2 linked regions of the Alligator mississippiensis genome follow. The protein of the gene in region 1 interacts with the protein of each later gene in a biochemical or structural test. Links are inferred from orthologs where the notes say so. Each region holds a gene or a part of one and is shown in the gene's direction. Other genes may lie near its edges.

Evidence for each region.
Region 2: the proteins of ABI1 (region 1) and ENAH form a complex in vitro, tested with the Homo sapiens proteins (2 studies listed by BioGRID). The link is inferred for Alligator mississippiensis from reciprocal best matches to the Homo sapiens genes ABI1 and ENAH.

What each region holds. Positions count from the first base shown.
Region 1 is NC_081828.1:189,404,709-189,420,877, reverse strand, and holds the start of ABI1 (abl interactor 1), read left to right. Parts: upstream 1-7,846; 5' UTR 7,847-7,931; coding exon 7,932-8,048; intron 8,049-10,690; exon of another isoform or gene 10,691-10,789; intron 10,790-12,564; exon of another isoform or gene 12,565-12,653; intron 12,654-16,169. UniProt on the Homo sapiens protein: May act in negative regulation of cell growth and transformation by interacting with nonreceptor tyrosine kinases ABL1 and/or ABL2. May play a role in regulation of EGF-induced Erk pathway activation. Involved in cytoskeletal reorganization and EGFR signaling.
Region 2 is NC_081824.1:180,326,436-180,342,885, forward strand, and holds the start of ENAH (protein enabled homolog), read left to right. Parts: upstream 1-8,482; 5' UTR 8,483-8,497; coding exon 8,498-8,505; intron 8,506-16,450. UniProt on the Homo sapiens protein: Ena/VASP proteins are actin-associated proteins involved in a range of processes dependent on cytoskeleton remodeling and cell polarity such as axon guidance and lamellipodial and filopodial dynamics in migrating cells.

The sequences.
Region 1 (16,169 bases):
TTCTTTTGGTCCAGTCCTCCAATTTGTCAAGGTCTCTCTGAATCCTAACCCTACCCTCCAGCATATCTACTCCTCCTCCCTGCCCCAGGTTGGTGTCATCTGAAAATTTGCTGAGGGTGCAGTCGATCCCATTCTCCATTTTATGCAATGCCTAGCAATTTTAAGGGGCTGACTCAGTTTAAAAAAAAAAGTGAGCTAGAGAGTGGCCCATGTAATACCTCCCCTAAGGCTGCAAGGCAGGCTCAGTTAAACACAAAAAAATCCAAGTGAACACACCCTTAACCTGGCCCCAGCAACACAAGTTTCAAGGACCTTGGTTAATCTGCACCACAAAACTACCCAAAATAAACACTCCCAGCATAGGTTAGGTCTCACCTTGTAATTTTCCTTCAAGGAGTCTTCCCTCTCTATGGAAGCCTCTGCCTCTGCCTGTCCTTTCATATCTGGTCATTCGGTCAACTTCCCTCTGTATTGACAATTGCTTGCCAGTTGAGGCCCCTTACATGGCTTGTTGCTGGCTAATTGACTCAGGCTGCCTGTTACAGGTAGTTTGAATAGGGATGATCCTGTCTTGAGTAGGGAGTTGGGTAGGTAACTTCTTAAGGTCCTTTTCAGCCCTACTTTTTCTATGATTCTATGAAGTATGTCTGATAAACTTTAAGTCCTTGTCCTATAAATTGGAGTGATATTATTAACACTCCAAATATTATTAACACTGCAGAATAGTTTTGGAATATAATAATATAATTTAATTATTATTTGTGTTTTACTTTATGATGGAAATATATTTCAGTGCAAAAGAGACATCTTGGTTAATCAGTACAAAATGATATGTTCTTTAAATCTGTGTTTAGAAAATTACGCTGTAGAAAAGTTTTTTTTTCCCCTGTAGGAACCAGGTAGAAGTGAACTTCTATGCAAGTTTACATTTTCTCAAATACAATTAAAAAGACAAAAGTGGAAGCATAATATTATATATATATAATAATATATATATTATATAAAAATAATATTTCTTGGCACAATCCTATTTGCAAACAGAAAAGCAAACATATTAGCCACAGAAAATACTGCTTGTTATGACTAATCCAAAACTTAATGGCTAAAGGCTAGAGTCAGCTTCTACTGAATCTAACACAAGGCTGCTGTCTTTACTTTACACACAGTTCTTCCTATCACAGGAATACTCTCAATCTGCTTTAGCTGACTTTGCAAACAAGCCAGTGGTGTCAGGGCGGATAACTTCCATTCTGGTTAACTAGAAGGTAGTCCTTGTTGTTTTATTATAGAAAGCAATGAATGATTGCTGAGATTGATCATGTCTCCCCTTTTGTTTAGATATTACTTAGTCTCAAATTAAAAGAGACATTATTCCTATTACACAACAACATGTAACATGAAATTAAAAAAAACCCTATACCTTCTGCATAACTAGAATTGTGCCAAATTGCTTCAAATGGCCTGAATGCTTTTTTTTTTTTTAAGTAAGTTCCCAGTTGAGAATATTTCTAGTGTATGACCAAGAGGTTTGTATCCCCATCTTCTTCAGATTTTTCAGGTTGGGCGCTTTTGATAAAGATATCAGTGACATCTTTTCTTCCTTTCTTTTGTTTTTTCTTAAGTTGACATTATTTTCTGATAATGCTAATGTGTACCCACAAATGGGAGAACACTGTGCATATTCCACGTTCTATTCCTGTTGGCTTCTGCTGGAATCCAGGACACTTCTGCCCAGAAAATTGTAAACTTACACCTGCTTCCATTGCAGTAAATGGCAGCTTTACCATTATATTAGCTGCAGGAACAGTCCCAATATCCTTACCATGTCTTTGGCTAATAAAACAATAGTACAGCATGAAATACTACATTGTGACTTTTTTACCATCCCAATATTGTGACAAGAAATATTATTAACACTGCAGAATAGTTTTGGAATATAAACTTCTGCTGGAAAGATACCACACTCCTTTCAGAGTAGCATGATGCTATCATTTAATTATTATTTGTGTTCTACTTTATGATGGAAATATATTTCAGTGCAAAAGAAGCATCTTGGTTAATCAGTACAAAATTATATGTTCTTTAAATCTGTGTTTAGAAAATTATGCTGTAGAAAAGATTTTTTTTCCTGTAGGAACCAGGTAGAAGTGAACTTCTATGCAAGTTTACATTTTCTCAAACACAATTAAAAAGACAAAATTGGAAGTATAATATCTCCCCATTACCTTTATAAAATTTGCATTTCTTTGCAGATTCCTTGATTTATTTTTGTTTAATACAGAAATAAAACCCATTTCTTGTTTAAAGAATCCACATTGATTACATTTTTTAGCTTTTGAAGGACTGATAATTGAAACAATTTTCCTTTCTTCTCCACACAGTTGATATATATTGCTAGGATGAAGATAGGGACTGGATTAGATTTAAGTTATCAATATTCTATGATAAGTTTCCAAATCAATTTTGAAGTGCATATAAGAGCTAGGTTGTAATAGTCTTTTAATTTGCATATTCATGTATCAAACATTCTCGTTCTGTATTGATGCAAAAACAAGACCTTTACAAGTTTTTCATATGAGACCTTACCACCCAGAAAAGTCAGATTACTCAAGTGGGATTGTGGGAGACACAATTTAAAGTCCCTGTTCAGTCCCATTCAGACTCAAATACAAGTATTTATTTATAAAGGTGGAACAGCTGTAAAATTAGATTGACAACATAGCCTAGTCATGTGGGTATTCAGTTGGAATATACTGGTTCAAAACATTGGGTTTGGTTTGGTTTCTGACACCCTACCTGAGGTATTCTAACTACTGAGATATTTGTTCTGAGGTAGGGCTCTTTGTTGTTGGTTTTGACCAGAATTTTAATTTGGGAGCTGTTTTTTTTTTCTAATGAACAAATTGCAGCATTCTTGTTAAAAACTACTGTTTTGGTGAACTGGCATTTTTGAATGAGAAACTATTTTTAAGAACTCCTAACCAACTCTGTAACTAATGGACTCATCAAGTCACTAAAATGTAGCTGGCCAGAAAACCATGACTAAAATATATTAGAAGAGAGCTATCCTCCCATGTTTCAACCCACAGGTTAAGAATTTTTAAAGCTGGCTCCCTGAGCATCCAAGAGACAGAGGTATGCGGGGCCAAAGGACAAGGCTAAGCTGAAGGGTGTGTGGTTCAGCGGGGTGGCTGCCCAACTGACTGAGTGGCAACCATAGATCCTTGTTCCCAGTGGGGCAGAAACTTCCCCATTCTCCATTTTATCCATTGCCTAGTGATTTGAAGGGTCTGTGACTCAGTTTTAAAAAATTGTGCTAGAGAGTAGCCTATGTAATGCCTTCCCTAAGGCTGCAAGGCAGGGCTTGCTTCTTGCAATTAGATGTATTCTTTTCACATTAAAGCTACCCACTCCAAAAAGGCATTAAAAGCCATTAGATAAGAGAGGAACTAATGGTGAGGCCTGGCCAGAATACATTAACATAATAAGGATCCCTGCCAGAAAATAATCTTTATGCTTTATTGTATCCCAAAGTTTTCATTACAGTATTGTTCAACCTCAGCTCTGTCAACGTATCATGTGGGTATGAGACTGACCAACTTGCCATTTAATTATACAAACACTCTTTATGCCTCCTGCCTTAGACCTGAGCAGGAAGGTCATGAGGCTGCTTCTGTCCATATTTGGGTGACTCAGCAGAATACTGACCCTTTTTTTCCCCTCACAACAAACCACCTGTCCCCTTTCTCAAGCACTATCTTCATCTTGTGATTTCGTCCTTCCTTGCAACTGGCATTTTGAAGGGCATTTTGGCAGTGAGTGCAAAACAGAAACCAAGAGGAGTGACCATGAGCTGGGAGAGGAAGGGATTTAAGAGCATCTATGATGTAAGAAAAATTATGGAGCTATTAGAGAAGAGGGGACCTCAGACTCAGCCAGGAAAGATGAAAGGTTGAGGGGAGGGAGGAACAAAGTGGCAAACAAGAGGCAGGGAGTCCCGCAGAACAAAGAAGAGGAGAGAACTGAAATTGAAAGGACAGAACAGGAGGGAGAGAAAGGAGAAGCTTGGTGGTTAGAGCATTTATAGGGAGGAAATGGGATAAAAGAAGATTGGAGCGTAGAGGGAGGGAGAGGGGAGAGAAATGGTGAAGTGGGGCGGAGAAAAGGATTGAGAGTGAAGGCATAAGCCATAGATGAAAATGCATTACGGGAGAAAGATCAAGTCAAAGTACCATAGAACTATTTATTTTTGTGCCTCTTCTATCTTTGTACATTCTCAAGATAGCAATGTTTTGTTTGATTATTTTGTGCTCTCCAATGGCTAATGCTGCCTAGCAGTGACTGGCTTGAGTGTGCTTCCTCTGCCATCACAAAACACTCCTGCTGCCTAGCAACAAACAGTTTGTGTGGAAGCCTTGTCCAGTATACAAGGCACCGGTTTTTAAGTCAGGCAGATCCCAGGAACAGCGGGTTCACAGGAGCATGGTGTGTGAGGGCACCTCTTGGAAAAAGATACTCGTATTCTCAAATCTTGGCACTCACGAAAAAACCCTCCAGCTCTTATAGTTGTGAAGAAAACCTCAAATATATATGTCTTGTAGGGCTCTCTGCATGAGCTGAGAGACGTGGGAATTGCCCCATTCAGTTCAGTGAGGTGTTAACTCAGGGATGATAAAAATAAGCATGATATCAACAAAATATTAATTACATTGGTAATTTCATTCCTTGTACAAGGCTATATTTACACGAGATAAACTGTACCCAACAAACCTAAGACAGAGGTAGGCAACCCCTGGCATGGGTGCAAGAGCTTGGCATGTGAAAGCATTTTACTTGGCACACAAAGTTTGGGGCAGGCAGTGGGGAAAGGGCTGGGGCTCCACTGTCACAACAATTGGGCCCCTTGTGGCTCCCCTACCATCTGCCCTAGCATGTGAACATTTTACAAGTTGAGGTTGTGGGTGCTTTTGGCACTCTGCCCAAAAAACATTGCTGATCCCTGGTTTAAAATGCAAGTATAAATGAAAATAATTCTACTGATATAATTTTCTGGTCAATCTTATTCAGGTATGAAAGTGCCTGAAGTGCCCTTTTTTGGTTGTACTAGTCTCCCCTGAGAAAGGGATAAATAATAATAATAATAAGCCACTCTTGTACCAGCATAAGAGTGTTCACTTTGGATACTGGGATAGAGGTTATATGTGTAATCGGTATGGTTGATAAAACTTTCCAGTACAGGATGATCCTAAGAAAGAAGACCAAGGGTTGTGGATCTACCCAAATTACTGAGTAAATGTTCACTTTGTTGCCATTTGTGAGGCTTCTTCTTAACCCAGGAGGAACCAAGCCCCAAAACAGGGGTGGCCAAACTGCAGCACACATGCCGCAAGTGGCACTGGCAGCCTTTTTGTGGCACATGGCAGACTGAGGAGGGGGTAGGCAGCAGCATGGGAGCAGATCAGTCAAGAAGCAGGAAGGAGAGTAGCAGATGGGACTGGGCAGGGGATTAGAGTAGTACTTAGGGAGGCTGCAAGGCTTAACTTGTGGTAGGTCTGTTAAAAAGGTTGGCCCCACTGCCTCAAAATGTGGCTGTGTTTATGGATGCCTTTAAATCCCAGCCAAAGGGAGCCCATGCATAAGAAGCCAAGTTAGAGTGATGCAGCAGCATATTTAAGCATCTACAAAATCTGCTGTGTGCAGGATGTCATCTCAACTTCTCCCTGGAATAGAACTTATTTTTGTAGGTAGATCTTGAATAGGACCACAGCTATTCTTCTCCTGCAGTCAAGAGAGGTGTGCTGTTTTCAAATCATCTGTTGCCTTGCTGTGCTTGACCAATGCTTGAACAATCATTTAACCTTTGCATGGATAGGGAAAACAAAAGTAAGCCGCTATTAACAGCAAGTATCAGCTAGGTGGCGCTGCTACATATGACCTTTCAAGTTCTGTTTCTTGTTCCAGTAAAGTTTTGATTCTTGTGCAGACACCAGGAGGAGGTTGCCTGTTTGGATTATACAAAGTATTTGGTGTAGAGGCAGTTTGTAGAGAAAGGGAACCATGAAAGCAGCAGGAGAATTTGCTGCCTACTACAGCTCTGATTAGTGTAAGATCCTGAGGCAGAGTTGTCCCCTTAAGAACTTTATCATTTTCAAAACAAGCACCATTCATAATACAGCAATTAATACAAAAACATAAAATGTGATAATTAAATCCTTGTGCTAGTGCATGTACACAAGAAGACATGTTCAGCAAGTTTAATTAATGCTTTAAAATGTGTTTCTTACATCAACCAAAGCTGGAGAACGCCATGTCTGCTCATCACATGTCCCTTAGTTGCATTATTCTGTAGAGGCTTCCTCTCTGGCTCTTGAGTATGCTCATCCAAGTCCACAGGTGTGACATTTCCAATGATAATTGCAAAGAAAAGAAAATCAGTTTCTGGACCTTCCTAGATCACTTGTTATGAACTTTCTGTGTTGGCTGACTCAGACCTTATAGCACCCCCTTTCTGGTGATGAACACAAAGTCAGGTAAGATGCAAATAAGACAGATGCCTATATGCCTGTTTGAGTTGAGCAGCAATCTGTGGATGTGTCCAGATTAGTGCGGCTGTGCGGAATGTGGCACCACAGACCCATCTGCAGTGCCACATGCTGCACATGCAGACGTTCTCCATGTTGCAATCTTGCAGTGCTACAGGGTTTTTTGACCCCAGGAAATCCTGGAGGTCAAAAACCCCTGTGCCGAAGAGAAGTGGGGTAGTGCATGTGGTGGCAGTGCACACCACCCAAAACCAGAGCCTGGCACAGGCCTGGGGCAAGTAGCAGTGGCACAAGGTGGCTGTTTCTTGTCCCCGGGGAACCAAACGTCTGTCCTCTTCTGGACGCAGCCCCTTATTCTAGTTTTGCCACTGCAGCTCCTGGCTGAGATGTGCACACAATTATAAGAAAGCCTGATGTCAGGGGCAATGCGTAGGGGGTGCATATGCACCCCCTGAGTGCTGGTGCACCCTGTCAGGCTGCGCTCCCTGTTTAGCCGACAGGCAGGGGGGCAGGCAGTCAGTGGGATTGGCTGCTGGGGGACTCCCTTCCCCTCCCAGTCACTGACTCAAGAGGCACCAGTCACCCGTGCCTGATGCTATCACACAACTCAGTAAAAGTGGCCTGAACCCATACTCTGCCCCAGAAAAGATACTGAAGAAGTGTCTCTCTTCAGCCTCCTCCTCTTCTGGTGGCCCGAGTGCTCTGGTTCATTCCCACAAGGACCACAGCCCCCACCAGGTTTTCCTCCTGGGTTTCTCACAGCACTTTGAATGGGGGAGCAGTGCTTGCTGGAAGAACCAAAGAGGATGGGATAAGAAAGACAAGGTTCTTTGAGTAGATGCAATATCTTTTATTAGACCAACTGAGTAGTTGGAAAAAAGTTCTTGCCAAGCTTTTGGGTGTTGTCACCCTTTGACTGAGCCCGAAAGCTTGCCAAGAACTTTTTTCCAACTACTCAGTTGGTCAAATAAAAGAGATCACATCTACCCAAATAACCTTGCTTACCTGTGTCCTTAGACCAACATGGCTACAACCAAAAACCCAGCAACAGGGATGAGAAAGAAGCATCCCGAAAACTGCTTGGGCTCGGGCAGCGCTCGCTGGGGAGCCGCCACCCAGGCACTCAGCGCGGTAGCAGCCGAGACGCGGCGCGGGCAGGGGAGTCTCCCATGCAGACCCGGTGGTAAAGACAAACGCAGGAGGCGGCGGAGGCAATCCTCCTCCTACGCATGCGCACAGAGGCGAGCGCCGAGGCCTACATTTCCCAGGCTGCCACACAGCGGGTGGGTGGGGCAGTCTCCCACAATGCCCTCTGGGCGGGTGGCCGAGGCGGCGGCGTTGCCGCTGCTGTCTCTTTAAGGCGGGGGAAGCGATGCGGAGCGGTGGAAAATGGCAGAGCTGCAGATGCTGTTAGAGGAGGAGATCCCGGTGGGCAAGCGCGCGCTGCTCGAGAGCTACCAGAACCTCACGCGCGTTGCCGACTACTGCGAGAACAACTACATCCAGGTGCGGCCGCCGGCGGGGCCGGGCCGGGCCGGGCCGGGGCGGGTGGCAGCCCGAGCCCAAGCCGCGCCGGGCAGGGCAGGAAGTGGGCGCCGCGGCGGCAGGAGCAGGGAGCGGTGCAGCCGGGCAGGGCCCCCGCCGCAGCCCGGGGCTTTTCTCCCCTGAGGTTTTCTGCTGAACTTCATCCCAGTCTCCCGGGCGGAGGGTGGGGGCGGGCGGGCCGCGGCGCCCGGAGGGTGTGTCCGCTTCCCCCGGGCTTGTTTGTTGTGAGTCACGTCGCGCCTCCCGCCCTGGGGCCTGCCTGCGTGTGCGTGTGTGTGTCGGGCGGCACATGCAGCTCAGGAAGGGAAGGGCGCGCCCAGCTGCCAGGCTCTGCTCTCCGCGGGACCCACACCCACACCCCGTCAGTCAGTCAGGCGCACACTGCCCCTGCTCCGCTGCCCCCCCACGCACACCCTGTCACAGTCGCACCCCACCTGCCCACTGTGAGGGACTTCCGCGAGGCAGGAGTGCCCGAGCCCCCCACACCTTGGCAGTGTGTGTGGAGGTGTGTAAGCATGTGCGCTCACAGACATGCTTTGGGGACCGCTGGGGCTGAAAGGACATGCTCGTCCCAGGTGTGCGTGCAGGGGCGTTGTGTGGCAGGGTGGGAGGCAGTGCTTGCTGCTGCTGTGGCGCCCCATCCGGAGGGCAATGGATGCTTGGGCCTGTCACTTCTGTGAGGTGCGGCCTGTTGTTCCCACTGCAGGGTGCTTGGGCCTCAGACTGCTCTGGTGTCCCCTGTTGCTGGGACAGCCCCAGGTTCCACAGCCTGCTACCGGTGGCTTCCTAGTGACCCAGTTCCCTGCGCCTCTGTCTGAGGCTCCTCTGTGGGTGCTGCTTTAAGGACACTTTAATTTAAACTGTTTGCAAAGCTTTCATTTGATCTCTTTGCTTCCGAATCCAGTCTTCCATCCACTGTGCCTCTTGTACATTCCCCAAAGAACTCAGCTGTTCTCCTCCTCCTCCCTCCCTCCCCCCCCCGGGAAAAATGATATAGAGAAAAGGAAGCTGAACTATATGCCATGAGTTGTCTTTCAGATAAGCCTTTCAAATGTAACGTGTCCCCAGTTGGGTGTGCTGTACCAAAGCTCAATACAGTTTTTAATACTTCCAAGTTATTTGGTATCCATCTGCAGCTAGCTGGTTATCCTTCTTTTCATGGAGCACCACACTTGAAAAGGAACCACAATGTTTCTTTAAGGAAATTGCTTCTGAAAATACAAAGTAATCATTTTGACACTTTAGATTGAAACTGCACTAGGAAATCAGAATTTGCATAGGGAAAGGTTGACATCTGTCTGAGTGGGTGGCAACACAGTTTAAACTTTTTGTTTTGTTCTTGGGAGTTACTTGCTCCACCCGAAAAAATCTGCTGATGCAAATGCTTTTAAAAGGTGAGGTTGCATTTGGTTTTACTCATGGGAAATATGACAAACACATGAACATAGTAATTGCAGCTCATGTTTTGACCTGTCTGACTCTTCTTTCTATTTGAGAAAAGTTGCAAAGAATCTGTTTGGCACTGTGTTCATTTAAAATGATCAGAATCATAAACCTTACTAATGTTTTTAAAAGAAATGAATCCCATTAGTCATTTGAAAGTCACATAACCAGCAACCACTTGAGAATCAAAACCTGCTGTGTACTTGACAGCCTGTCTGCAAGTGGCTGTATTTTCCTTTTTTGGAAAGAATCTGACATGCTAAAATGCAGAGTCAGGACTTACGCAGTAGTCTCATGGGGTTTATATCTAGTTTGCATTGTGTGTAGGTTTAATCAAATTTAGAAAAAGTGTATTGATGATGAGAGAGATATTATTTTTGGTAAGGTAAGGCTTGAATAAAGCCATCTGTTCTACTGTTACAGAGGATTGACTGTAGTAGTGGCAGTGTCCTAGATGGCACTGCCACAGGATTAGAGGATACAAGGCCAGTGTAGGGTGATGAGAATGAGTAGGTGGGATCAAAACGTGGTGTTTATACTGAGTATCTTTGATCGGACAAGTCAGTCAGTATTTTTAACATCTAGGTTGGCTATGGCACCCCATTTGTCTTTATCGTGGGAAGAGGCAGTCAAAGCAGAACAAGGCAAGAGAAGCTATAGACGAAGTACAGCATTAAATGTAGGATGTCATCATCTGGGTCCCTACTTAAGTGACTCAAACCAGGCTCTGTGAGGTCTCTGACAGAAATGTGACTACTGGTGCATACGCTCTGTCTTTCAGATCTAAACAGCAATATGCTGTTCTCATTGCAGGTGTTACTCTGTTGCCACCACCTGTGCTTTGTGAAGTTGAAACTAAATGGATTTTGTTTGACATTTTTGATCAAACCACACAAATGTTTGTTGTAAACACATCTGGTTACTGTTTTTTTGTATTTGGTATCTAGCTGTCTTTACCTGGGCAAGACTTAGTTTTATTAAAGATAAGACTTAAAAGCAATAATCTTAAAAGATTGATTTCCCTCCCCTGAGAGAACTTTAGAAGTATCTGTATTCAAAATATATGAAATATATATATATGAATATATATCAGTCTGAAAAGATGAAACTTAAATCATCTTTCTTGTCCTTTCTTTTCTTTGTTCCTACTCTGCCCCCAGCAACTGACTGATCTCTGGATGCCAGTGTTCAAAGGAACTGGGAAGCAGTTTACGGTTACCATGTACTGTGCAACAAACAATACCAAATCAGAATTCCAGGTAGTAGGGTATCTTGTCTGCCAAGCCATTCATGTTCTGAAAGTCTGTCTAATAAAAGGAAAAAGAAAGAAGATGCTAAATGGAGCCAATGAGATTAGAGGGAAGGCTGAGAGTACTGAAAGAAAATTTAAAGTGGTGACTGTTGAGGGAGAGAAGAAAAGGAAATGGAATGTAGAAGTAATAAATAACAAGAGGAAGTTGGCTCAAATGTTGGGGATTTTTTTTCGCATTTTTTTTTCTTTTAAGATTTGACTAATGGGAAACAGTTTTAAAATAACTAAATTACTGGATTTAATTTGTAATCAGATTTTCAGTCTGTCTGAAACTTCTGGCTATGGTTATAAGTTCTAGTGATGATTTTTTTTTTTTTTTGAAAGCAGCTAGAAATAAGGCATCTGATATTTTTGAACAGCCAAGTACCTTTCCTTCAGCACTTCTACAGGCCAGATTTTGAGTCCTCAGCTAGCAATCTGTTTTCATCTCCTTGTAAAAGGAGTTGTATTAATATGTAGGCAACTATGTAGAGGGTGAGTGGGACAAAACATAGTTTTTTCCTTAGTTAATTAAATTAGATCTGAGATTTATAAATGCTAATTAAATGGGCATTTATAAAGTACCATTGTATTTCTCAGGCTAATCTTAGTGCTAGGTGACAACCTAGAAAGCTGGACACTTACTTATGACTAAATGTGTCTTTAAAATGGCATGTTGGGAGGTAGGGTAACCCACCTGCGGTGGGCACTATAGTAGGTGCCATGCAAATATAAGCCATGGTTTCTGTGTATGAACCTTTCCCTCAATCCTTCTTGGCTCCTGGTAAAGTCTGTTGTTGCCCTTGTCGGGATGAAAGAAAACTGGGAGTCATTGCATAAAACTGGCAAGGTTGGTGATGAATTCCCCAGTGTGTTAAATTGCAATATGGGGATTGCGAAGGTGATGAACTTCCTTTGTCATTTCTCTCTTTGTGCTCCCAACATACAGAATCAAAGAATTTGCAGCTCAAGCTGCTGCTTTTAACCTCATCAGCTGACAAATATTAACTTACATGGATTTTTTTAAGAGTTTAGTTTTTAGGATAGACAGTTAATTCTTTTACAGAAGCGAGCATACCTGCAATAACTTGTTTAGTGCGTTTGACAGTGAAGACTATAAGTAACGTAGGAAAATGATGCCTTCAGAGTTATTATGCAAACTCTTTCCTTTGAGTTACTACTGTTGATTGTGAAGATTACAGAGGAAAGCTCATTTCTCTGTCAAAGTGTATAAAATAGTGCTTGTTAACCTCTGTCAATTAAAGTCAAGGGCTGCTTACAGAGGTGGAAAAAAAACAAAATGGTACTTTTACTTTAAGTTTGGTACACCCCTGTGCCAAGCGCAGTGCATGCACAAAAGAGGCATCGCATTAGTTGGACCTGGCTTGCCCAATATCTGTATAGATCAGGGTCTTTAGTGGGGCCTTTTTGGCACTTATAGCTGGTTGAATCGGCTTTTAGATAAAAGCACCAAGAAGCCCCACTGAAGCATCTGATCTACTTGGATGCTGTGGAGCCAGGTCAAACTAACGTGTTGCTTCTTCCGGTGAAGCTGTTGTTTGTTTGGATTTTTGTTCATTTGTTTGTTGTTTCTCCCCCCCCCCCCCCCCCCCCCCCCCCAACTGTCAGTGCCCAAGATGATGCCCTGTGTTTTTGTATCTGCTTAAAGCATCATTTTCTAGTCTTGTTTACTTCAATTTGTTTAACAACTAAATCACACATGACTTTAAATGTTGCATTCAGGTCCTGTAAACTAATAGTTTGGAATACTGTGCGACTCCCATAAATGATGGTCCTGAGATTTTAGTGAATGGATTCTGCAGCTTTTGAAGGTAAATTGCATAAATCATGAACAGGACATTTTGAGGAAGTAAGTGCTGAATTGCTTAATGTTGTTTCCTGCTGTAACTTCTAGCTGTTATGTGGAAACTGTATTTCATATGTAGCTGAATGTGTAGTTTTTCTGAAAGAAAGGCAGAAGCAAGGGTCTTTTAGCTTGACCTTTGGAATTTTACCCTAGTGAAGGGAATTGGAGGCTTCCTTCCTGTTTCGGGGGGGGGGGGGGGGGGGAGGAGGAATATACAGATTGCATGAGGGGGGGAAAAAGACTTTTTAAGCCAGAGTCTGGACTTTTGATAGGATGTGTTTATTAATTGGAGAGGCTTGTTCCATTTTTATCTCGGCGTTGTACAATTGAAAACAAATTACCACGGATGAATTCACTTTTAAATTGACACGTGCATCATAATAATATGTATTTGAGCCTTTTTAGTGTTTTTTTTCCTTTTTAGTTGGCAACTGATTTGGCACCAGATGCCTTTTGCCAGGAAGAATGGTAAAATGTGTCTCAGCTGCTTTCAGTACAGTGGCATTCACTTGAGCTGTTTGTTGGATTCAGGAAATAACCTTCTTAAACAGTCACTTATACTAGATTTTATGTGCTGTGCAAACTTAATTACTTTTGTTGTGTATAATTAATTATTTATATTTAGGCTTCCAAAATGGTTACAGTATTGACTTAAAGTTGGGGAACAGAATAGAAAAATTGTCTGCCCACAGTTTTCTTTTGTAAGTGGACACTGCAAGAACTGCCTTCTAAACGCATTTGATTTTAAAATATGAATGTTTTTGCCTAACAGACTTGATGATTGGTAGTCAGTGAGAGCTGTCAGTTTTGGAAAAACGGCTTATTTTTGTACATAGGTCTAAAATGGGTATCAGCTCCAAGGTCCTAGTTTGTTTGATTATTTTGCATGTACAGGAGGAACCAGTCTTCTAAATAAGGAAAACGCAAAGTGATCATACTCTTATATGCCGAAGGGCTGGTTTTCACAAATTGGAAATATTTATGCGCAAACCTTCTAAAATTATTTGAGGGAGATGGCAAAATTTCCATTACTCTTGCTCCTATTTCCCATTACTACTTCAGTAGAGGATTATGTTTGTATTGCTCTGATGTTACTAGGCAAGGCAGAGTGAATGGGACTAAGCTGTGCTGCAGAGGATGCCCTGGGGAAGAGATGGAACAGACATAGAGAAGAGGTGATATGGAATTATGGGGCCTGATAGTGGCTTTATGGCAGAGAATCAGAGATTTGATTCCTTATTCTCTGGACTGGAAGGAGCTGAGAGCATTTAGGTTAGTATGTTTGGCACTTGGGGTTTTTAGAGGAAGTGATGAATGAAAGAGAGAGTTGCATCTAATTTTCTTTTTACCCCAAAATCTGTAGTACAGGTCCCTGTAGATATGGGCCTGTAGGTTAAACTCTGTTCTTTCACACCTTGGATATGTGAATAAAAAAACAGCCTGAAGTGGTATAGTGAGGATATAGAAATCAACATCCACACCATTTCTCTACAGAGCAGTAGAAATAAAGGATGTGGGGAAACCAGGAAGAGTATGAGTCAGAGTAAGAGGTAAATGGCTTAGAAAGTATAACAGAATGTATGTGTATAGTGCCAGTTATCTAAAAATTTAACTTTCACAAACAACAAATTAAACCTGCCAGTAGCTCTGCTTTGTAAGCTGCATTTTAATTACTTTGCAGATAAGTTAAAAGGGTAACTGAAGAGCAAAAGGTCATATGGGGACTTACTGGCAGATTTGGGAACAGTGCCTAATTGTTCTGACTTGTTCCCTCCTTTCCCCCAGTTGCCACCATTAGTCGTGCCCCCCCCCCCCCCCCCCCCCAAATACTCTGTAAAAGGAATTTTTCAGAAATACAGCAAACAATGAAATGGAGTCCCCAGGAAAATAAATGTGCCTGAGACTTTTCTTTAATGTCTTGAGTAATTATAAAAAAGATTTAATTATCTGCTTCCAGGTGTAAGTTTTAAATGCCAGTTTTCAGCTTTTGAATTCTATAACCCCTGCAACACCATGTCTCAAATGCTGACAGATTCCTGTCAGTGCAGAAGTCCTCAAAATAACTACTGTATTGACTTGAAAATAAGATGATCCTGATTATAAAATGAGCCCCCAATAATTAGATTCTGTATATGTTAAATTTATAAACTTGTTCATAATTTTTCAAGTATAGACTCTAATTAATTATCAGAGACTTGTCTTGAGTTTGTCCCTTTCCCACTGCTACAGCAGGGAAAATATAGTGGCAGGAGGTCAGGTAGGCCCTTTTTTCCCCTCTCCCTCCCTACTATCAGGCCCTGCTTGGGGTCTGTTTTTTCTCTCAGCATCTGGAAGTGAGGGGCAATTTTGATATGTAAGGGAACAAAAACCACTGATTTCAAAATAAACAGATCTGTAGCAGTTTGCATATAGGCAAATTACTGTGGGTACCTACTTAATCCAGAATTGATGCTTTTTTTTTAAATTTATTTTATTTTTTCATATTTTTGCAAACTGTTGTAAGTTTTAGCACAGGTACTCAAAACACTTTTGAGCAGCACTTTTGTACCTACTAGTACATAGTACCAACTTTTTTTATATTTTTGAAATTTTTTTTGTGTTCCATGTCAGATTAGCCAGATCAATTCAGAATCCTTTGAATAGTTCAAGAACTGTGTGACCCTACTACTGGCAAGTATTCTTCATCCCAGACTTTTCAGCCTGGGGCTTCCGATACTTCCAAATCCTTTGGCAGGCATCCTATGTGCAGGCCCAAGCTTGGAGGCTTGGGGTTTAGATGTCCCCTAGTTTCACTTGTCCTCAGGCATATGACTGCAGAAGCAAGCAAGGGAGGAGTCCCCCATTTCCATAAAGTCAACGTGTAGCCAAGATCCTTCCAGTAGAAGCTGGCCAGTAGGAAGCTAACTATGAGGCTCTCATAGGGAATCCTGTCTGCACATGGGTAGTGGTGCATCCTCCACTGCACAGTGCCATTTAAATGCATTTCAGCTTGGGTATCTGACTAGTCAGTGCAGCAACTACACTTGATCTTAGCTCAGAAGAGTCTGAGAAGTGACAATATCAGTCCAAAGCCAAAAGGCTCATGATTTACTGTATGCAGGCAACCTCCACTTAATGCTGTTTTGCTTAGCGGTATTTCACTATAACGCTCATTTTAAATTGATACCTGATTTCAATTAGTGTTCAGCAAGTTTCTTTATAACACTCGCAGTTGCCACCTTGGGTCATTGCAGTCTCCAACTTGGGTCGTCAAATACTTTGTTTCACTTAACACTCATCTTTTTTTCAGGAACCAATTAAGAGCGTTAAGCGGAGGTTGTCTGTAGTTCATTGGGCTGGGCCCCAGCAGAGTTAACAGCATTTTAAGATATGGTGATCCCATAATTCACCTCTGTTCAGTGCGTGTGTGTACTCCAGATATATGGATACTAATACTTCAAGCAGTTGGTTTTCTCAATGAATTAGCATGTACTGTGTTGCC
Region 2 (16,450 bases), on another chromosome or scaffold:
AGAATCTGCTTCATCTAGTATCAGGAATATTTAACATCCTTTTCTGATCAGTTTCTGTTATGGGACTGAGATCAACCTCTGGCCTATAGATCAAATCTGCCTGGCAGAGCCATATTATCTGGCCCATGGGACTGAGATGTATGGAGTATTTTAAGGAAGTAGGGGTGCACTGATAAAGATTTTCTTGGCCGATACTGATAGCCAATTATAACCAGCCATATCAGCCAATACCAGTCTATTAACTGTGGGTTGAGTCACGCTGGGCTGGGCAACTTGGCTCTACCCACCCCTTCCTGGCCCCAGCCTGCAGTTTGTGCCATGCCGAGGACACTGTGCCAGCTGCTCCACGTTAGCTCAGCCTGGCCTATCAGTAAGGGGATGGGGGGGTCACCCCAACTTTCGGGGGGGGACCAGGTGTCCAGGGCCCCAGCCATGCGGTCACGAGGAAACCCAGGCATCCAGGGGTCCCCGCCAGAAGGCATAATTATCAGAGAACATTATTGGCTATAATGGCCAAACAAGCTGATAGCCAGTAATGTAAATTTCCCTCTTACCGGCGCTGCTCCAGTAGGCAACTGATATATCGGTGGACTCATTTCTTGGTAGATAACTCACAGAGTTGTGTTAGGATCAGTATCTCATACTTTGTATACAACCAGTGGCATGACATGATTTTTAAAATATGCTGCAATGTTAACAATTGAGTAGCTGCTTATTGTACCTCTCAGAGTAACATTTAGATGCAGTTCTTTGCAAAGTGTTGTAGCATACAGGCAGTCCTCAGACTTACGACACAATTGGCACCTGAAAACCGCATTTTAAGTCGAAACGTTGCAACTCCGAACCAATTTTCTCATAAGAAATACTGTTATAAATGGAGGATTGGTTCCTGAACCAAGGCCCTATACACAATTTTCACAAAAAATACTCCAGAATTTTGTACTCTGTCAGTTATAGATGAGTAATATAACTACATTTAATGCATTTATATAGTAAATAGCAATCACATTGTTTTGGAAAGACTTCTTTGAGGTGACTTTGCTGGACTTTTTGAAAGGCTGGAGTCTTCTTGGGAGTCTTGGCTGTAGGTTTTTCTGGAGTCTTGTCTGCTTTCTTAAAGAAATTGTCCAAGGACGTTTGGACAGATGGTCTCCAGGGAGGTGAGTGACACAGTGAACTTGTTTGCTGGTGTGGCGTGGCATCGGATCAAGCGTTGTGAAGTTGAAACTGACATCATAAAGTTGAAACGGTGTCAATTTATAAACGTTGTAAGTGCAAAATGTTGTAACTTGAAACATTATAAGTCTGACTGCCTGTAGTCCAAACCTAAGGTAACAGGAAAACATGGGAATATATGCTTTACCAAGGAGGACAAAGTGCATGTTGCTATTGGCTTGAAATTTAGCAGTAGTAACAAAACACGATCTTCAGTTTGTGAATGCTAGTGATACATAACAGTCATTTTCATGTACTTGCCAGCTAAAGGAGCTTTTAAAGACCTTGAGACAATTGAGTAGATGCCATTTAGAACTCTGGTGATCAGCCTTCTGGCTCTCCTGGTCAGATAAATGGCATGGATGCCAGTCTGCATGCTGGGTCCAGCATGGGGTTAGTCTGTGGGTGCAACCTGGTACACCAGATCCAGCTGAGGTGTGACCCATGTGCTGGTCTGGTGCCAAGTACTGGGTCTGACCTGCAGGGCTCCCCATAGTGACAGCATTAATTGCCACTAATTAGTTAATTAGTTCTGGAAGCTATGGTGATTTAATGCTGCCACTGCTGCCAGATTTCTGGATCTGGTGAGCCTCCTGGACCAGATCATATGGCCCCCCCCAGGCACACTTAGTTTGCTGGCCAGTGATCTAGAACCTAAAAAAAAAAGGGGGGATAGAGTTAACCATAAAGTAAATTGTAGTATTATTGGAGTACACTTGATGGTACTTGTTATCTTATGGTCATCTGTATCAAGGGATAAGCATGTATGCTTGATATTTCTCTCTTTTAGAAAGTGTTAATTTACTTTCCCAGTCAGCTTTGGTTCTCTACCTTATGTATGCCTAAAAACTGCTGACTAGGTCCAGGAAATATTTAGCAATCCAGTTTATTGCAAAAACTTCCTAGTAAGTATTTTCCTTTTATCTTCCTCAAAATGAAGGTTTAGGCATGACAAATAATGACAAGGTTGTCCACATTGCGACAGCTGATTTATGTCGTATTTGAAATTTTTTTGAGTACAAATTTGTTCATTCCTAGGAACTCCTGAAACCTTTTGCTTATCTACTCAGATGGTTTATAGGATAAGGGAGAATCTTTTAGGGGATATGAAGATGTGCCATTTTTTGACTCTCTGAACTGTCACTGGTCACTCAAGGCACTTTCTTATAGCTGACTGAAAATAAGTGCTGAAACAAGATGTAAGGTATCTCTAACATCTTAACTCTGCCTTTATTTTTAGATTTGGAAGATTCTTGCAACCTGTTAATTTTAGCTTTTAAATGAATATGCCTCTTTAAAAATCTGTTCAGCCATTTAGCTAAAACATTCAGAGTTAATCTTATAACTTCCTAATTCATAAATATTTTGAAGACCTAAGATTTAAAAAAAAGAACCAGCATGAGTCTAGTAGCAGATTTTTGTGTTGCCACGCTGGCGTTCCAAATTAGGAAACTCCTAGTCTTAACTCTTATAAGGAGAGAGAATGACAGCACTGAGTAGGAAGCTAATAGTTTTGTAGCTCTAGAGAATAGATGTTTTAATCAGAAAGGAACAGACTGAAGACAGAAATGTATACAATGGTCACATTTTAATTTTGGACTGTAGAAGTAGCTGTTCAATTATACGACTACATCTAATATTAAAATATTGCTGTTAAAGAGGATTGAGGCAGGGAAGAGAGAATTTAGTATGTAGATAAGCTTTCAGCAGTATGTTTATTTTAGGGGACAGACATTCTTTCAAGAGGACTATCCAACTTAATTAGAAATTTGAGGCATTGCTTACAAGTTTCTAATAGTCTTGGTCACTTAGACGTTTGTGAGAAGAATTGCAGTGCTGGATATTTAATTTACCATGAGGGTTTTAAGAATGTCTGACATAGAGCAGCAATTTTTTATTAAAACACTGGAAACTCCTTTGACTTTTCAGTTGCCTATAACAATGTAAGTAGATACAGTAGCATGTTTTATGGTAGTTTAAAGAAATAGCACTTACAGGACTAAAGAACTGATATTTTATAAAGTTTGATTTTTTTTTATTTTTTTTTTTAATAATGATTTCACAGAATATTTTGATAGTCTGTTCAGAGAATCTGGGTTTAGTCCTAACTAGGATTGTAAATGCAATTATCTGATTGCACGGTTAAGAAATACATGTATTTATATCTGAGCACCTGTTCTGTAGTGCCTTTTAAGACATTTACTAGTTTATTTGTGTGGTGTGTTGGTTGTTGTTGAGTTCCTTTTGTTTCCACTGTTCCTCTTCCTTTCAAGGAAAGGAACAATAAAGTTGTCTATCTAACTTTTTAAAATCTGCATGCATAGCTGTATTGACTCTCAAATTTTGGTGCAGCTGTTTAGGAGAGCATCTTCTGCTGAAACAAACAAGTTATGTGCATATGTTAGATTTTTATTTTTTTTTTTGGTAGACTATTTGCACTATAGAAGTGTATGCTACATTTCACTTTACACTGTGGGTTTGCCACAAGTGCAAAGTTTGCCTAATTGCGTAACACAAGTCTAGTCCCAGCTACCTGCATTGTGACAAACTTTGGTTATATGCATGTTGACTAAGTGTATAAATCATTTAAACGCTAGGAATTTTTGGCCATACTGTCTATTTTGTAAGTAATTGTAGTCCACTAATTGCATAATTGACAATACTGACTTAGAGCTGTTGATTTCAAGAACTCTAAATCAGCTTTGAACTGATTAGATTTTGTTAATTTCAAGGCTGCTGATTAGAGCAGTGGTTTTCAATCTGTGGTCCAGGGACCCCTGAGGGTCCACAGATTATGCCCAAGGGGTCTGAAAAAGATGACGATGATAAATCAAAACTATGTGAATACCCTTACTTAAAATTCAGAGGGTTCCACACTTGCATTCAAAATTTTCAAAGGGGTCCACACCTCCATTCAAAAATTTTTAGGGGTCCACAAATGAAGAAAGGTTGAAAACCACTGTATTAGAGGCATGAGGCACTCTGAGAAATGATGTAATGGGCCTTAATGAGATGCAGAAAGTGTTGTCCAAGTTGTTCCTATAGTTAATGAGTATTGTTTAGATTGAGTTGGAGAAAGTGCCACAGGTCTTCTTTAGTCGAGAGGCTAGGCACTTAAATTGAGTACACTGTATAAATGGGTTGTAGTGATAGGTTTCATAGAAGTTCTCTGTTCCTATTTAGGAGATCCTAATAGACTTTGTAGGTACTTACGCATTTACATCCTTTAAGTTGGAAATGTAGGTGTACAAGTCAGAGCAATCTTAATTTGACACTTCTCAGTGGCTGCAAAACTGCCTAGGCATCTAGATTCTCATAACATAGCAGTGTACTAGTACTAATCTGTCAGAGAACCCCCAAAACCAATATAGGGAAGATTTTATATTTTACATACATGAGCCACTCCTATTCCAAAATTAATATGTTAAGAAAGCAAAAGGAAAGAGAAACCCGCCCACACTTTAGCTCAGTGGTTCTCAATCTGTGGTATGCATACCACCAGTGGTACACAGAAAACCTGTTGGTATGCATTAACAGATTTATTATAATTACTTTATACGACAAAAATTTGCTGGTGGTACTTAAGGTTGTATGGTTTTAAATTGGTGGTGTGCAGTCTCTCAGCATTTGGGAACTGCTGCCTTAGATACTCAGTGGCTATGAAGTTAGGTTCTGACCGGGCTCCTCAAACCCATAAAGCAGCTGCTTAGCAAATATCCAGCCACTTACTTTGAATTTGATAGCCGTGATTTATAATTTCATTCCCAGATAGTGCTCTGAAGAGCAGCCTTTTCCCTTTTACCCTTGCTAAAATGTATACAGGCAACCCTCACTTAGCACTCTTAATTTGTTCCTGAAAAACCGAGCGTTAAGTGAAACTGAAAGTATTTGACAACCCAAGATGGTGACCACAATTATTTTTAATGACTCAAGATGGCAACCGTGAGCGTTATCATGAAACTCGCTGAACACTAAGTGAAATCAGGTATCAATTTAAAATGAGCGTTATAGTGAAATAGTGCGAAGCGAAACAGCATTAAGCGGGGGTTGCCTGTACAGCTCTTCCTTATCTGACTGGCACTGGGGTGGCATGGGCACTGAGGTGCATGGCTGACAGCCCAGAGGTTGCAAGGTCAAGACCATAGCAGAAGTGCTCATGGTGCAGCCCTGTCAGATTCTAACGAATCTACAAGTTCTGCAAAATGCCTTGTCATACAAGGACATGAAAAAGGAAGGAAGTGTCTGACTTCATTTTAATTAAATGGAAAAAGTAAATGTTTTAAATCCAAATCTTAAATGGAATTTTGTTAACGAATAGGATGACCATCCATCCCAAGCAAACCTGAACACTCCCGGCTTCCCTATTCCAGTCCTAGCTGGTTGGTTGGAAGTCCTGGAGTGGAGCCTGCCAAGGACGCGGAGCAGTTTGGTGTGCCTATTGGCTTGGCAGACACCACTGCTGCTGAGTGGGAGCAAGGTGGGTGGACTGAAGCAGGGTGGCTTTGGGGGACATTACTGCATTTACTCAAATTCAAGACAAAGTTCCCCCCATTTAATGGGGGTGGTAGAAAAAGCCCCTTGTCTTGGATTTGGTTTACAAGGTTTAGCTGTTGTTGCTTTAGCTCTAGCCCTGGCCCTAACCTAGGGTTGGAGCCCAAGCTAAGGCTGCTGTTTGTCCCTGTCCCCATCCCCCTGCTACCTCTTTCCCTGTCTCCTTGTACCCCACAGTCTCTGCTCCCCTGTCTGTTTCTTCCCTTTCCCTGCTTTTCCCTCCTCTTTTCCCCCTAAAACTCCCCCTATTGCTTAGCTTGGCTCCAGCTTCAGCAGGCTCTAGCCTCTCCACAGCCTGGGCCACAGCGCATGTTTGCTCCAGCCCCAACCCCAGCCCAAACATAGGATAGTGGGGGAGGTAAGTGGTGTGGACAGACAGGTGGCAAGGGCAAGGTGTTGTGGAGCAAGGAGCAGGGAGCAAGCTGCTTGACTTCCCCTGCTGCCTACCCTTCCCACTCCCCCCCCCCTTTTTTTGTCAATGAGAACTTGAATTTTCTTATCATTCTCATCAAACCAGTCCTGATATTTCTTTGTGGAGAAGCCTAGAGATTCTTCTCATGACTCAAGCATGCCTTTCCTGAGGCTTTCCCAGTGATCAGTGGTGTCAATATCATCAGTGAGGTTGGAGAGTACTGCTGGAAATAATTGCTTTTATCAGGGTCTTTCAAGCACTTAATAATATTGAACCTCTTCTTTGGTTGTTTCTTTTGCTTACACCATTTTGGGGTGATGAATGGGCATGATGGAACATATTGTCAGGGTGTCTTCTTCATTAACCATGCCGGGCTGGGCCAAGCACTTGAGCCAGCACACCTGCCCTGATCCTTGGTTAATAAGATTGCCCTAGTTTTCTGTGGAGGTGAGCAACTGGATGGACTGCTGAAAGCACCACTTACCCCTTTTAAGCATATCTCTGCAGTGTTTTGAGTAGGGGGTGCATCCATGATGTCTTTCATTTCTTCTGTAACTGAATAGGGAGTTTGTAATGATAAGACTACATTCCAAACACTTGCTCAGAAGGAAAATTCCATTTGAATTGACTTTTCCCACCCCTTCCTTTCCAAGTGTTCCTTTCCATAGTTCAGATTCTCTGCCCAGTGTAGCATTGAAATTCCCAAGAATGGTCTTATCTTTTTTGGGGGCAGATGACAAGACTTGGCTGGGTTTAGAATAGGATTCTTCCTTAGTTTCATCATGTGCAGCCAGGGCGTAAGCACTGATGACTGTTGCATGTTGTCTGTTGGTCAGTGTAAAACAAAAGGTCACGAGACACTTGTGTATGCCAAGCGGACATTTCGCATCTGAGTAACAATTTTGGTCCAGATAGCAAAATCAACACATGGCTTTATCTGCAGCAACACTGAGATCTTTATATGGCCTTTGTTGACCTAAGGCCTTTGATTCAATCAACAGAAAGGCCCTTTGGAAGATACTGATGAGATTTGAATGCCCATCAGAAGTTGTTGCCATCATTAGATTTCTTTGTGATGATGACATGATGAGAAAGTGTAAGCTGTGGCTCAGAAATTAATTCCTTTGCTGTTAGAACTCCTGGAGTCAAGCAGGGATGCATGATTGCACTAACATTTTCTTCTATCTATATTGCAGCTATTTCATATCTCATTGCTGCTGGGCTTCCATCTGGAGTCAGCATCCAGTACTGTGTGGCTGGGGAATCTCTTTAACATCAACCAGATAGGTTCCAAATCCATGATAACCAACATTGTCATTACTGATCTTCAGTATGCTGTTGTCATATGTATCCACTTGATCAAAGAGATCCAGGTCACTCACTGCTTCTGTGAAGCATGTGAAATGCTTAGACTTATTGTCAACTGCACAAAAAAACAAAATACTTTTTTCAACCTGCCCCAAAACAGCCAGCTGCTCCCTCCTCCCCCACACATTACAATTAGAGGGTAATACTTGGAGAATTTTGAGTATTTCCCTTACCAGAAATGGAAACGTGGATGATGATGATTTCTAGATTCAGCACTGAAAAAATCTGCCATTGCTGCCTTTTGAACATCTACAAAATTGTGTCCCTGATCATGACATCAGGACCCAAACCAAAATTCTTGTCTGTCAGGCTGTTGTTATCTCTAGCCTGCTGTGTGGGTGTAAAACTCGGACAGCTTAACAGAAGCCCCAGAGAGCTTTGGAGTGTTACCACCAATGATGTCTTCAGAAAATCCTCTACCTCAATTGAAAGGACAAAATAATGAATATTGGAGTTCTGGCTCAAGCAAAGATCACCAGTGTTGAAGCCATGTTTATATATAGCACCAGCTCCATTAGGCAGGACAGGTCATAAGGATGCCTGACAAATGGCTCCTGAAACAGGTCCTGTACTCGCAACTTGCCAGTGATCACATTTCTAGAGGTAGGCAAAAGAAGAGCTTCAAGGACAGCTTAAAGACCAATCTGAAGAACTGTGATATTGACATCAATACTTGGGGGACCTGAGCTCTGAATCATCCCTGGCTGAGTATGACAAGGCATTGACCATTTTGATCAAATTTGTCTCATTATGGAGGTGAATAGGTGAGAGGGACAAAGGAAAAGAGCTGAGACCCAGCATCACCAGGATCCACTTCCTTCTATAACTGTATACCATGCCTGCAATCAACATGCAGATCTTGCATTGGTCTCCTCATTCATCTCCAGATTTATTAATGACTTCCCTATTTATGGAAGACTGTCACCCTGATATTGAGGGACTGCTGACTACATGGAAAAGTATAGCATTTTAATAGATTTTTTTATATATAGAATCTAATTACTGGGTAGTTGTTTTAAATTCAGTTTTGTCTTGGATTCAGGTAAATACAGTAGTTGCTACTGAGGCTAGCTTTTGCTAGATAGAATGCAGATTATTTTATTTGTTTTAAGGGGATTCCTAATATTTTTTTTCCTTTGGGTTGTTTGTTGTGATTTGTTAGACCTTCATATAAAATCAAATTGCCTTATTTAATAAAATGTGCTCATTTTGTAATCCGTGTAATCATTAGTTTGAAGATTGTTCCAAACTTCTTTCAAATGCTGCTTGGAAAGTGATTTTTAAAATATATCTGGCTGTTAAATTACTTTGGTATTTAGTCAGTAAACATTCTGACCACAAGTGTCAAAGAACAGGCCATATTTTCTAGGTGAAGTTGAGAAAATGATCTGCTGATATCATTTGCTAATCATATGTTTTGCATTAAACGTCACAATAAGGCATAAATTAATTTGTGAAGGGTACAAAGATGTTTTTGCATGACTGTTCTTCTAATATCCAGTACAGTGACTCTCAGCCTTTTTTGGTCTTAAAGCACCCCCCTGGAAAGTGCCAGCTCTTAGCCTTCCCTCAGTTTTTGATTATGAAAAAATAATATAGCAATGCTGTTCCAAAAAAAATTAAAAAGACCACAACAAATGTTTTTGACACTGGATTCCTATTGAAAATCTCTTGGTTTGTCTTGCGAACCATGCATACTAAACAGCCCAAATGTTGCATGGTACCCTGGAGGATGCTGCAGCACCCTGGTGGAGCATCAGTGGTGTAGTCTCTTATATAAATTGAGACTATTGAGAAATAATAAATGAATATAAAATCAAAAAGTCTCTTTTAAAAATTATTTAGAATTCTGAGTTGTTTGTACTGCTAGTGTTGTAATTGCTCCTCTTCTATGCAGACATTCTCTGAGAAAAAGCATAGGAAGCATTAAAGAATGATATGTTTGGATTCATAAATCTCTGCTTTGATTTACTTAAAGTGATCTTAGTGCAAGACTACTAGTCTGACAGCCAATAGAATGCTTCAGGCAATGAAATTTTCTGCTCAGACTGTCTCTGAGCCTTTTTTTACCAAACATAGATACCTTGAGGGATTTGGGATAATACAGTTGCTGAGATTCCTCTTGGATGAGATGTTTAGTTTTATGTGAAGGTGATGCAGAGGGTGGGCTTAATGAGTCAAAAATGTGTAAAATGTAATTCTTAGTCCCTAGAAGTGTTATTTATTTTAAGATACATTAGTAATCTTATGTATTGTTACAGATAATTTTTATTATTAACAAGGCTTGTTAAGAGTCTTATGAATCTAGTTCAATTAAAAAAAAATAGTTGCATAGAGTAAGAAGTGTATTGGTTATATTTCTATGTGTTCCTTCAGTTATTTCTTTTTCCTTCCTTTGTATGAGGCAACTAGAAACATAGGAAGATGCATGTTTTGTTGACTTGTCTGATGGAAACATGAATTTTTCACCGTATAAAGTTAGATGAAAATTTCTTCATGTTGGTATTAGTAATCTCTTATTCCCTTCATGCTATTTTCCCCTGATATTGAAGGAAAAAAACATATGGATGATCTGAGGGGTAATTTCTGAGTTTAACTAAACAACTTGCAGCTGTAAACCTTTTATTTTGGATATATTTATCTGTTCTTGAGTCATCAAGCCAGATATTTTGAAACCATTAATTTATTTATTTTTGAGATCAAAGTTGGATAAAATCAGAAGTCTAACTATTTTTTAGAGGGTCTTGATGATACCCAATTTCCAGTTGCCTAAATTAACTTTTGGCATATAATTTTGTAAAACAGGGTATAAATTATATTTAAAAAAATAAATGAAACCCCCCCCCCAATAAAAAATCTTGTTCCACGTTAATTGATAACACTTGGTGAGTCAGCTTGTTACTTGCTAGTTTCTGCCAATTTCCCCCTGCTTTTCTTATTTTCTATTAGAGCAGTGTTGTTCAACTATTTTAAGGTTTGCTTCATTTTCTTTTTCTTTTCCTTTTTTTAACCAAGGACGTGAGCTTCTCCGTATAGAAAAACATTATAATTCTATACTTTGGAGTATCCTAATATTAAGTATTTTATATGGTTTTCCTTTCCGACATTACTTATTCTAGTATTTTAGGCTTATTTATACAAAGTAAAAGTTCAGTATACTATTGTATTATTTAAAAAATTCTAAACGTAATTAAACTTTTAAAAATCATTACCAAAAATAAGACCAACCATAATCTTGTACAAGATAATTAAAGAATTTCTCTCAAATGACAGATGGAGATTGCCTAGCTGGCAACATGGTATCTTATTTCAGTTGTCTGTGATTCCCAGTGCCCTACTAGCACCTCCTAAAGGGAGGGTTGTGTGCTTTTGGAAATGCAGTGCAGGTTGGGACCATGCTGTGCCCCAGAGCAATGGGGTTTTCATTACTTTGAGGTGATGTAGCTAGAGCAAGGAAAAGAGGGTCCAAGCAGTAACTGTGACGTGATCAGCTCCTGAGCTGCGTGAAAGCTCAGAGTTCCCTGGTATGTCAGCATGCATGAACACTGCTGCTGCTTATAGCCCTTTTTCCCCATCACTGAATTTAGTAGCAGGGGAAAGGAGGAACTAGTAGCAGGAGTGTTCACCCATGCTGACATGTTGGTTGACAATCAGATGTTCCCACTGGCTTTGCATCTGGCTCTGTGTCTGGCTGGTGGACTGAAGGTTGAGAAGCACCATATTAGTATATTAAGATAGATAAAGTACAACCTGGATCTTTGCAAGTTTAGGTTCCTTACTGTCCTGTAAAGATGAGGGTTTGAGAACTAGCCACAGCAAACAGCACTGAGAGACTCCTGAGGTGCTCCAGCCATTTATTGCAGCTTTCATTTTAAAGTACACCCTTTCTCCAGCCAGCTGTGTGGAGAAAGAATGTAATTTGAAGTAAAAGCTGGAGTGAACAGTTCAGTGCATTGATTTTCAACCAGGGTGAAATGTGATGTTACCACTTTTATGTGTGCAAACTTGGGTTCTTAAGAGAAACCCAGAGATTTCAAATAGGAATCCAGAGTGTCAAAAACATTCTGACCTGTTGTAGTCTTTTGGAGTTATTTACAACAACAAAAATTGCTCTATAATGTTTGTGCACTCAATAAATGAACAAAACCTAAGGGGTGGAATTTTGAGGGGTGCCTCAAGTTTAACAAGGTTGAGAACCACTAGTGTAGTTGGCTTTATCTTGACTTGGTAACTTGGTGCAAATGTAAGCAGGTTGGGAACCATCATTATATAAAGGTCTAGATTCTACCACACCTTATTTGCCACCTTATGGTTTCGTTAACTTTGACATCCTTAATTTCCATTTTGCTTCTTGTTGGTCCATTCGTATCAGTGCAGTGAAGTTCTTTTTCACAAGTTACTACTTCCTGTTCTTCATCACCTATTTTATAATTGGAGTGATAGTAAAACTGTAGTTAAAAGCATTAGATAATTTTTGAAGCTTAAGGTTTTTCATGATTTACTTCACTCTTCCTTTACCTATTTCTCTGTTACAATTTGTTATTACTTTTGCTCATCGTTTTGCCGTACTGGTTTAAGCCAGCTTCGCCACTCTTTATATGGCTTCTATGCTTAAAACATTCTCTTTCAGTATCGCAGGGGTCATTTTTTCTTTTCAAATTAGTTTAAGCTAAACTCTCAAACACTAAAGTACATTTTCAAAACATTAAGAAAAGTTGACATTTCTCTTAGTTTCTTAGGTTGTCTGTTGAGACTGTTAGCTGCTTGGCATCAAAGATCTATGTACAGCTTCACACAGAGCACACTGCTGGCTATAGGGTTAGTGCAGCAAATTTTGATGCAGATTGGTACATAGCGAACATTTCAGTGAGGAGGTTACCTTAAACATTTTAATTGACAGGTCCATTGTTTTTGCACAGTGAAGTGTACACACCTGTACTTGATTTAAAAAAAATCACAAATCTAGTTTGACAGGATTTCATATGGAATTGTTATTGATCTTTGCTGTCACACTGTTTCTTTGAATGAGACAAGCAAGGTTCTTTGGGTAGATGTAGCTTTTATTAGGCCAACTAAATAGTGAACTTTTTCTGTAACTGTATTGTAGTCAAGTCTAACACCTGTTGGCTATCAGCCTGTTGCCATGTAAATGATTGTCACCAAAACTGCAAAAACATGAGGGCAGAACAGATGGGCTGCAGTGGGACAAGCCCTTTTTTAAGCCTCATAGCATGGGACTGAGCATGAAATGCACTATGAATGGATTTATGTAAGACAGGGGTGTTGTATTCACCCAGCTCCCTGAGCTGGATCTAAATTGGCAATGGTCACCACAGGGATAGACTCCACCCATCGCTTAACCCCTGCTGCCAGCATGTACCCCCAGTGGGATCTCATAACCCAGATTTCAATAGTAGGCATAGTTTCTCTAGGAGTGCTGTGGCTGAGTGACACAGTTCCACAGTCCTGATCCCATCCTACGGGCTGTGCATTAGGTATTGCCTCCAGGTTAAGTCTTCAAATACACGAAGGGAAATTTGTAGAGAGAACAGATGTAGGCTTTTCTCTGTGGCTGTGCGAGACAGGACTAGGTTAAGAGCCTCAAGCTGCAACAAAGGAAGTTTAGGTAAATGATAAGGAGGAACGTTCTGACTGTAGGGGTGGTCAAGCATTGGAACAGGCTACCTAGAGAAGTTGTGGAATCTCTGCCTCTAGAAACTAAAATGTCTCTTATTACAATTCAGGATATTGATTTATATCCTTGTTCATATGGCATTGCTTGTCTACCCTCCCAATAGTTACCCCAATCTTAATTCGCATGGGGGTAGTTTTAAATTACTAACTAAAATATGGTTCTGTTTTATGAAATTAACCTGAATTTGTGCTATTATAAATATGCAATGAATTAAGCACTGTGTTCTGGTTTTTTTTCTTTTAAATCCCACTGATACTTAGAGCATTATTTGAACTCTATAAAACTGTTGTAGGCAGTATAATACTTGGACAGGTGCAAGCATGAATAGTCCTATTAACTATTATTTTGCTTAGTGGTATAAAATCTACCACTGTTAAAACAAAATTGCACTTGTTGGTGGAAAGTTGCATCAATGTAATGAACGTAATGGAAGTTGGACCCATCCTGCCACTGCTTCTTTTCTCCCTCCCTTCTGACTGCAGCAGCAGTATAGGCAAAAAAACTCACCTACCACCACAGTGCCACTGAAGCCCCTGGCCTGCATCACACCAGAGGCAGGTTGTTTTGGCCTGTTTCCCAAAGCTTGCTCACTGCTGGCTTAGACCAACTTCAGCAGCCTGCATCTTATGCCTCAGGATTATTCTCATGATCTCCCAAGTCACAAAGCCTAGGAATGACATTATGCACACGGTCAGAACCCATTTAATCATTTTGCCTTGTTTGTTTGCCAGGCTTGGGTATTTGTGGAGTAGCACGGAATATGTGGTGCTTGTTTCTTTAGCAGGCAAATTGGCATTATGGACAAGCCATAAGGCACCCCATTTCAATAAGTAATTTATTTATTGCAGTACTTAATTCCAGGTTGGGGCGGGGAGTGTGAGCAGAAGGGATGAGCACTTAACTCCTCACAGAGCAGCAAGGCAGGGACAATCATGAGCTTAAACCTTCTTGCATTGGAGCTGGGTGGGCACAGATGAGCCTGTTTAGCTTCTCATACACAAAGGAAAGGGATGGGAGTCAGGGAAGGGAGGAGTGAGCACTTAGTTCTTTACGTAGGGGCCAGCAGTGACAAGCCTGGCCTTTACCCAGAGGTGAGTCTGCACTTACCTCCTAGCATAGGGGCCAGGTGGAGAAGACCAAGTGCTAGCCCACCCTATAGCCTTCCTTCTCAGTGCTGCTGCCCCCCCCCCGGTCCAGCCCCCCGCCCCTCCCCCCCCACTGGAAAGAGGCTGGTGCAGCCTCTGGCCCCAAGCCCGCAGTGGGCAGCCCACCCTTGCTCCATGCACAAGTCTGGGGCCCACATGCCCCCTTGTACTTCCCCTAGGGGTGTGTGCGGCATCTAGGAGCCGCACCCCTCCCCACCTCCTGTGCCCTTTGGACGAGCCGCCCGTGGCTCTGTCTTGGGCCCTGCCCTGACGGGGCAGCACCTGCCCTAGCTCCACTCCCTCCCTCACCATGGGGGGGCCTCAGTCTGCCCCCTTTCCCTTCCACCTCCACAGACTTACCAGCCAGAGGCTGCTCTAAAAGCTGCTGGGCTGCATATCAGCTATTGGATCAGTATCGGCTGATGTGGTAGGTTAATAATTGGTCATTGGTATTGGCCAAAAAAATCTTTATTGGTGCACCCTTAGAGTGCAGTACTAACTTGTGATGTAACTGCCAAAAAGATTGACCCCCACTGCTTTAGGACATGTAGTTTGACAACAAAATGGAGTCTCTTTGCATTTGATTAATGAGAGTATGAAACCACCTATGTGCAGCTCAGTGGATGTTCCTTATGAGGTGCTATGATAGGGTTGCCTGGAGTCAGGCTGGGTCCCAACATCCATGGTGCTTCTGTTGTATCTAGTAGTAGAGTCCTTGTGTCCTCGTAGGAATACATTCTTAATATACCATATTTCCCCAAACCCAAGACAACTTTGAACTTAAGATGACTGCCCCCCCCCAATAGTTAGATGTTATACATTAAAAATTATAAATTTGTTTTACTTTCCATATATAGAATCTTATTAGTGGAAGGTCATACTAAATATGTCCCCCTACTGCTGTGGTGGAGAAAGAAACGATGGAGGCAAGTGGCCAGCTCTCCCCCCTTCCCCCCCCCCCCATGTCCAACAGTGGGATGCCCCCCTCCTCACCACACAGTCTTCCCTGGCTACGTGTCCCCTTTCCTGCTGCACAAGCCACTCCAGCCTAGGGGCAGGGGGTGGCTTGGCTTTGGCTCTGAGCCTGGGACCACACCTGGAGCTGAGCTGCTACCTGTTCCAGGCTGGTACTTGAATCTAAGACGAGGCTTTCCCCTCCAACGCTGTTTGGGATGGGGAACCTCATCTTGGATTTGAGCAAATATGGTAGTACATGACTGATTGGGCCATATTTATAGACCTTGCCCTCAAAAGTAACTGTTTTTTTCCTGATTCTTTATGTTGGGAAAGTATGTAGTTAGTAACGGTCTTTGATGATAGTTCCTGGATTTAGCATATTTTATTTTATTTAAATATTTTTTAAGATTATGAAAAGTCTATCCCCGAGCATATTTTACACAAAATTTGGATTTTGTTTTAGACTGATCTGTTTATAAAAATAAGAAAAACTCTTAATTTAAAAATAGTTAAAAGAATATCACTTATTTTTAGCCCTAAGAAGCAGGAAGACTTTGACAAAAAAAACCTGTTCTTAGTACCAAAAGTGTTCTCAATTCGGGCAACCTGGACCCAGTGCTGGCCCCTGGTAGTTGATCTGCAAACTGTTTGACACAGTTAGCCTTTTAGTTTGCTTTGAAGAGCATTTCTTTGCAATTCTGCTTTCCAACACTTGTACAATCATACTGAGACTTGTTTTTCTCAGTGGTATTGAAGTTGTCAGGAGACTCTTAGATACCCAGCAATGCAAGAGCCTGTTTCTGCCAGAAACCTAAATACAGTCTTTCTTATACTCCTGGAGCTTTACTTACTCTCTCTGGGAATGCTCCGTATTTCCTGCAGCTTGTTGCAGCCAGAAGAGTGAGCAAGTTTTAGGCCTGTGTGGCTGAGTCTTTCTACACGGCATTCCACAAAGATGAGGTAATGTGAAAATCTCACCCAGAATTCATCCCCATGTTAGGTGAAAGCCCATTGGTTAATGTCCACCAGTTATTTTCTTTAAGTTCCACTCTCGTATCTGGATATCTTTTAGATTCTTGCTTTAAAGGACAACATACAAAATCAATC